Callithrix jacchus: one gene and its partner. Each later gene encodes a partner of the first gene's protein in a complex. Links are inferred from orthologs where the notes say so. Each region holds a gene or a part of one and is shown in the gene's direction. Other genes may lie near its edges.

What was found.
Region 2: the proteins of FGFR2 (region 1) and FGF8 are in contact, whole or in part, in a crystal structure (PDB 2FDB), measured with the Homo sapiens proteins. The link is inferred for Callithrix jacchus from reciprocal best matches to the Homo sapiens genes FGFR2 and FGF8. Residues at the interface, in NP_000132.3 of Homo sapiens: Glu160, Lys161, Glu163, Lys164, Leu166, His167, Ala168, Val169, Pro170, Asn173, Asp247, Val249, Arg251, Ser252, Ser282, Asp283, Ala284, Gln285, Pro286, His287, Ile288, Gln289, Ile291, His293, Leu309, Val311, Leu312, Lys313, Ala314, Ala315; in NP_149354.1 of Homo sapiens: His53, Val54, Gln57, Asp62, Leu64, Ser65, Arg66, Leu68, Ile69, Arg70, Tyr72, Tyr75, Arg77, Gly80, His82, Val106, Glu107, Thr108, Thr110, Phe111, Gly112, Ser113, Val115, Thr148, Glu149, Ile150, Val151, Leu152, Glu153, Asn154.

What each region holds. Positions count from the first base shown.
Region 1 is NC_133513.1:115,006,272-115,010,373, reverse strand, and holds the start of FGFR2 (fibroblast growth factor receptor 2), read left to right. Parts: upstream 1-1,302; 5' UTR 1,303-1,779; intron 1,780-3,101; exon of another isoform or gene 3,102-3,491; intron 3,492-3,645; exon of another isoform or gene 3,646-4,072; intron 4,073-4,102. UniProt on the Homo sapiens protein: Tyrosine-protein kinase that acts as a cell-surface receptor for fibroblast growth factors and plays an essential role in the regulation of cell proliferation, differentiation, migration and apoptosis, and in the regulation of embryonic development.
Region 2 is NC_133513.1:94,723,846-94,727,049, reverse strand, and holds the end of FGF8 (fibroblast growth factor 8), read left to right. Parts: intron 1-611; exon of another isoform or gene 612-704; intron 705-1,463; exon of another isoform or gene 1,464-1,475; coding exon 1,476-1,582; intron 1,583-2,407; exon of another isoform or gene 2,408-2,413; coding exon 2,414-2,704; downstream 2,705-3,204. UniProt on the Homo sapiens protein: Plays an important role in the regulation of embryonic development, cell proliferation, cell differentiation and cell migration. Required for normal brain, eye, ear and limb development during embryogenesis.

The sequences.
Region 1 (4,102 bases):
TCGCATCAATGTTTTCTGTGCTATACTGTGAATAAAAATGATTTTCTAATCATGTGGCACCTTGAAAAAAAATTTTTGTAAATGTTAGGAAGTATGCAATGCTAGTGACGCAGGTGCAAATATGTTTCTAAGGGCAGGAAAAGTCTGTTTTCCAAGTCAGGTTTGTTCTCAATGCTTCATCTATCTTCAGGCCTCAAAAGGATTCTAAAGCATTTCTGGGTTTAGTGACCTTTTCTAAAGAAAAATAATTAAGGTTTTAATCTATACCGTCTTGAACCGAGCACGGCTGCTCTGGAGCTGGATGAATAAGGAGGAAGAAAAAGCATATTTAAAATGAATGAATCCGAAGACACGGCTTAGGGAAAAGGGTAAATGGAAATAGGAACTTTAGCCAGTTACAGCTTGGTGTGGACTTGAAGAATCAGATTTTGCATTTATGATTTTGAATCTAGGATTCAGAGGGAGGAATTAGCTTGCTCAAGATCAGCTACTTATGGCAGAGTTGAATCTTTAGACTTCTTTGAATTTCTTTTAATTAATCCAAACATATACTACTAAACACTTATTTTTTTGAATGCAATTTTTGGCTTTTTCTGAGAGAGCCACATTCAAAGTCAGGCTCTCTCAATAGCCAGCTGTGTGATCCTAGGCAAATTACTGAACATCTCTGATCTTCAGTTTCCTTATCAGAAACTGGGAATATTACTCTGCAGGGTGGTTGGGCAGGCGAAATAGAATCACCTATGTAGTGTGACCCGCCCATAGTAGGGCCCCCATTAATATTCAGTTTTTTCCTCTCATTTCTGTTGTTTAGAAAGACAGAAAAATGCAATGTCCTGCGAACATTTCCAGGCTGCTTCCTCTCCTCCGAAAGCTTCAGTTGCCTGACAACCCTCCCCGCAGTACCAAAAGCAGACCCATTTTAAAGTCTCTTTAGGGGGTGGGCAGGGTTAGAGCCTTCGGTCACTTGTACTTAACGCGGCCGCTCCGGGAGCCGCTGGCCAGCCGCGCTCGCCCGAGGAAGAGGGAGGAGGTCGCGCGGGGCGCGGGACCAGGCCTTATTCGGAGGCTGTCGCTGCATCCCCACGGCCGGATCGCGGCTGGGCCCTCGCCTCCCCGGCCCGTGTCTCGGGCGAGGGCTCGGAGGCGTCGTGAGCCGCGCGGGGCTCGGGGCGGCCCGGGTGCGCGGCGCTGATTGGCAGAGCGGGCGCCGCCGTCCAGGAAACGGCTCGGGTTTCAGCGGGGGCGTGACCCGCCGGGAGGAGGCGGCGGCGGCGGCGCGGGCGGCGGCCGCAGGAGAGCGCGGTGGAGAGCCGAGCGGGCGGGCGGTGGGTGCGGAGCGGACGAGCGAGCGCGCGCGGCAGCCACAAAGCTCGGGCGCCGCGGGGCTGCATGCGGCGTACCTGGCCAGGCGCGGGGACTGCTCTCCGGGCTGGCGGGGGCCGGCCGCGCGCCCCGGGGGCCCAGAGGCCGCAGCTTGCCTGCGCGCTCTGAGCCTTCGCAACTCGCGAGCAAAGTTTGGTGGAGGCAACGCCAAGCCTGAGTCCTTTCTTCCTGTGGCTCCCCAAATCCGAGGGCAGCCCGCAAGCGTCATGCCCGCGCTCCTCCGCAGCCTGTGGTGCGCGTGAAGTCCGGGAGCCTTGGCGCGGGCGAAGACCTGGGGATCCCTCTTCTGCTTTTGGAGTTGCTCCCCGCAACCCCGGGCTCGTCGCTTTCTCCATCCCGACCCACGCGGGGCGCGGGGACAACACAGATCGCGGAGGAGCGTTGCCATTCAAGGTAATCGCCGCGGAAGACGCCTCTGGGAGCTTCTCCGCCAGCGGGGGAAGTGAGCGCCAAGGGAGCCCGGGACGTCGGGTGCAGCGTCCTCCGGGCGGGGGGCGCGGAAGGACTGGCATTGTGGGGGACGCCCCCTGGCCTTCCTAGGTGGCTGCATAGGTGATGGGGAGGTGGGTGCGTGCTGACGGCCCTTGTTGGGGAAGTTCTGCCTTTGCCACCTTCATCCAGATGCTGACATCTGCCTCTGGTGCAGACGCCCCCCTCCCTGTCAAACCCTGGCGGGCGCTTTCCCTCTGGCTGGGCGCGTTCCTCCAACCCCAGAGCAGACGGGCGGAGGGTTCGCCTGCCGATGGCACAGCCCCGCAGCCCGGGTCCCGCGGAGCATCTCCGAGGTGCCCCATCCGCGGGTCCTGGGAGCTTCCGTACCATCCAGGCCCCGCGGAGACCCCTGTCTCGGGAGGGGGCAGCTGGGGTGGGGCCGCTGACATCCCGTAGGGGTGGTGATGGCCAGGCGTGGCACTGTTGGGGAGGCGGCGGCTCCGGTGCCCGGTTTTCGATGCCTGGGCGCCCCTAGCCCGCAGCCGCTGTAGGCGCTGGAGGGAGCGCAGCGCGCCTGGGGCTAGGGGGCGAACTGGACCGACTTTTTCTAGTTCGCCTGCCTGCTCTGCCGCAGCGGCTGGGAGATGTCGAAAGCGCAGGCGAGTTCTAACTTGCGCGCTCATTCTTTCGGCGACTGGGCCGCGCTGGGGAAATCAGCCGAGGGCCCTGCGTGGCGCTGGCTCCGACCCTCGCGGCCCGCGGACCTGGCGCAGGAGGCCGGCCCGGGGGCCACTAGCCTCGGTCGCTCCCCTCACAGCCCGCTCCCTTGCAAACCGTTCTCCAGACCTTCTTTCCTTTCTCCCAATTCAATCAAACCTACCGTTAAAGGCAAACCTGCTTTGAAACTCAGGGCACCCATTATGTGTTTGGTGTGAAATGCTATCAACATTTAAAACTTCATTGTCCCCGGGTCCCAAATCCGTGTAAATCTTCCACCGGCCTCGACTCATTTTCATCTGAAAAGCCTGTTTAGTTTGAATAGAAAAGCAATCAGGCGCCCCTCTCCCTCTCCCTGGAATGTCAATTAAAATGCAGATTTCTCTGAGCTCTTTAGCGCCCCGAGAAGGGGGAGAAAAACAGGATATTTCGGGCAAACAAATGAAAGAAGTGCTGTCCCGAAAGGGGTGGTGGTGGGGAGCACCCCCAAGCTGCCTGCGAGTTCTGATTGGACGCAAGCATGAAACTGGGAGGGTATTGGGGTCCTGGCCCAGTTTGTGATTTTTGAGATTTCGATTTGTTGAGGAATTTCTCCCCTAGACTTGACCCCTTGACAGCTCCCTTTCCTCCTCAGCTGGGAAGAGGTAGGGAGGCCTTAAGCGAAGAGATGGGTCTGCGCTTTGGAGGAGCCGGGCACTGTGACTTTCCTGATGTGAAATCTACCCAGGAACAAAACAGCAGTGTTCCCTGTGGCCGAGCCAGCAGTGGACCTATCACCTCTTACGTGGAAGCCCAAAGCGGAGGGCTCTGTACTGGCCTGCCTTCTTAGAGGGTCGGGATTTTGGAAATATGGTAAAATTGAAGAGTGCAGCACAGGCCTGGCATGGGGACCACTCCGCAGCCAAGCCCTTCCTGCTTGTCACTCTGCCTGTCTTTGGGGGCAGGCTTGTGCCGAGGTGAAAATGGACGGGGTGGAGGGAGGGTGGGGGGCGGGCGGCCGAGAAGAGCCATCCATCAGAGGGAGGGTGACAACGCCTCCCGCGTGCGGGCTGAGAAGAGAGTTCCCTTTCAAGGGGAAAAATAAACACGCTGGGGCTTTCACTGGGGCTCAGACTCCAGGAAGGATTATGGTATTGAAGGCAGGAAGCCGGGATTGTGGCCGCCAGCGGCATGCTGGGCCTGTGTTCCCAACACCGAGCCTGGGGACCTAATTATCCTGCCTAGGAGGTCGTACCATACTTTTGTCCACTCGGTGAGGAACTGTGAAGACCTGTCGCCTTAGGTCTCCACCTTCCAGAGGTTTGGGGAGGGGGCTGCTGTGGAGCTTGGACCTGGAAATGGCTGAAATGCAAATCTCCAGTGCGGGCTAGCGGGATGTTGGAATGGCTTGAGATTCAGTGGACGGCCCTGTCCACCTTTCTCTGCCTGAAGCTAACAAGGTTCCTCTGGCATGGACAGGTGGGCGAGGAGGCTGGGGAAGGAGCCTGGGGCGAAACCTCTGCCAGGACTCAGGATTGTTCCTGAAGTCGTGTTAAAGGTAGAAAATTCCCCTGCATTCTGGAAATGC
Region 2 (3,204 bases), about 20 Mb from region 1:
GCACCTCCTTCACCCCTGCCTGCCGCATCTGGCCAGAATCCCCAGAGTGGCATCCTCTCACTCCTTCTCCAGTCAGCAGCCTTCCTGGCTGGCCCTTAAAAATAGCCACTTCTTGCTGTGGAAGGCAACGCAGGAGAGGGATGAGACTGGTTAGGTCCAGGAGGAGGTGGGTGCGCAGGGAGGTGACAGCTGCATTTCCTCTGCTGACTTGGGGCCAGACTGGGGGCTTGGCCAATGGGTCCCAGCATAGCATCTATGTGAAGTGGGGGGAAGTTACAGGCTGGGCAGTGATGGCTACCTTGCTGACCTCAATGCCCCCAACCCCTGCCATGGGTTTCAGGGACAGAGGAGGTACCATGTGTCAATGCAGGCTAAATCCCAGAACTGCTTTCTCAAGGAGCAGAGAGGCTAGGCTCTGCGACAGGGAGGGCAGGAGAGCCAGCACCTCTGTCCCTTCCCAAACAGTGGAGTCAGCCTCACTACTTTCTTGGGGACAGCCTGTAAGAGAGGTTTGCATAGCTACGTGAACGGGACAGGCTTTTGTGGCAAGTTGGCTGTCTAAGGGGAAGGGACTGGGGAAGGAGGCACAGAATTCAGCCTTGCTTCCTGACCTCCAGACTAAGAGGCTAGCGGTCCGATTCTCCCTCCTCGTCACCCACCAAAGGTATTTGGTCACTGGGGTGAGAAGCCCAGCTGTGATGAGGCTGAAAGAGAAAAGAGAGAAAAAACAATTGAGTTGTTGATTTCTGGACACTGGGGTTGGGGACCCTTGTGACTGGGAAGCCACAGGGAAGAGGCAGGATCCTCCTGGCAGGTGTCTGAGGTTCTGGGAAAGCACCCTGCTTTGGGCCGTGTGTTTATGGGGAGCTGTCTCCACCCCTAGCACGTTCTCAGCAGAGCAGAGCCTGGCGGGGTTCAGGGGCTGGGGGTGGCCGAAGCTATGAGTTAGAACCCAAACTGGCAGGAACAGGAGAGAATGCTTTTATCTCTGGCCTTGGGACTGGAGGTCACCACTCACCCAGATGTTTGTATTGACCTCTGAGGCACCTGCACATAATATTCGGAGTTGGAGGCTCCTCGGAGGTCTTTTGATTAGCCATGGAACTCTGATCAAATTAAATTTTACTTGGAGCCTCAATCTAAGAGACATCACTGTCTGGTTTAAAAAGAGGGTGGAAGGAATAGCACTTTAGCTTTTGCAATCTGATGGTCCCAAGACCTCTCTTGAGAACCCAATTTGGGGAAAATCATGATCCCATCCACTGCCCTCTGTAAACCCAAGGGTGGGACCTGAGGTCCAGAAAATCACCTTGCCCTTTCTCTGGGTTGCACAGCATAGTAGTAGCTGGGCTGGAGCCGAAGTCCACGTTTTGGGTTCCTGCTCTTTGGAGCAGTTGCTGCTGGGCTGTGACAAGCATGTGGGCCAGCTGGGGTTAGGGATCTGCCAATAACCATCCTCTTACCTTCTCTGACAGCAAAGCTCATCGTGGAGACGGACACCTTTGGAAGCAGAGTTCGAGTCCGAGGAGCCGAGACAGGCCTCTACATCTGCATGAACAAGAAGGGGAAGCTGATTGCCAAGGTGAGGCCCTGGCAGGCAGGTGTGGTTTGCCGGGACCTGGGGGGTGGCTTGGGCTGGCTGGACTCCTCCAGGACAGTCCTGTGCTCTGATCCCAACAGGGTGGCCAGAGGGACACAGGGCTGTCTTGGGGTTACCTCGTGATGGGGTGCAGGGGCGAGGGTGAGAGATGAAAAGCTATAAAGGCAAAGGAGGAAGAACGAAGGCTAGGGAAGGGACTGGGGGGGTTGGTAAATTCCATATATCTTTTTAACAAATCGCCAAATTGCTTTGCTATTATGTCCAATTACATGGTACCAGCATTTGGAATGTTCAGTAAGCCGCACGCCCGGCCCCTCGGCCGAGCTCTAAAATGGCCCCATTAGTCACGGCTCCTCTCCAGCCTCGAGCGCCCCGCTTCCTGGGCTTCTGGGGATGGGGTCTTAGCGTCTCCTCCCAGGCCTCCCCTCCCCCATAGGGTGGCTGCCCTAGGGCCAGGGAGCCAAAGTCCTGAGGGGATGAGAGGGGCAGGTGGGGAGACGGGTGGCCAGACTGGTGGGCAGGAGGCCAGAGCAGGCAGGCTCTGGGCCCCTCTCTCTGCTTCTGTGAGTTGGGGCCCAGCCCCTCCGTAGACAACCATGTGTCACTGCTGCCTGGGGGGACAGGAAGTTGCCGGGTGGGCTGCGGGTTGTGAGGGATTAGAGAGCGGGTGCCCGGGCAGGGGGTGGGGCTGCGGCTCCTGCCCACCTCGCCATCTGCTGGGGTGCCCACCTGCTGTCTGGAGCTGCTTGCCCTCTGCCTCTGCGGGGGCGGGGGTGGGCTCTGTAACGTGGTGTCTGGCTCCCCTACCTGCAGAGCAACGGCAAAGGCAAGGACTGCGTCTTCACGGAGATCGTGCTGGAGAACAACTACACCGCCCTGCAGAATGCCAAGTACGAGGGCTGGTACATGGCCTTCACCCGCAAGGGCCGGCCCCGCAAGGGCTCCAAGACGCGGCAGCACCAGCGCGAGGTCCACTTCATGAAGCGGCTGCCCCGAGGCCACCACACCACTGAGCAGAGCCTGCGCTTCGAGTTCCTCAACTACCCGCCCTTCACGCGCAGCCTGCGTGGCAGCCAGAGGACTTGGGCCCCCGAGCCCCGATAGGTGCTGCTCGGCCCTCCCCCAGCGCCAGACCACAGAGAGGCGCACCCTGATGGGCACCCAAAACTCAAGCCAGAGGAGCCCTGTGCTGCTGCAGGCCGGGGTGGGGCTGGGGGAGCCCTGGGTTCCGGTTGTGGATATTGTTTGCTGTTGGGTTTTTGCTGTTTTTTTTTTTTTTTTTTTTTTTAAACAAAAGAGAGGCTCTATTTTTGTATTCCACTTGGCTGTGGTGTCTGTCTTCTTAACTCTCAGAAAGCCCCATCAGTGGCTTAGACTGGGATTCCGACTGGAGGTTTGGGGGGTACAGGGGGCTTTCTCTAGCCTGTGCTGCTGAGGCCCCAGCACCTGCAGGGCCAGCTGGCTGGGCAGCCAAGAACTCCACTGCACCCCCAGGTGGGGTAGGAAGGAAAGTACTGTGACATAGGCCAGTCCTTCTAGAAGTGGGTATCAGACTGGTTGCTATTAAATGATTGAAATAGTTATTTAACTTGCATATTAAAAAT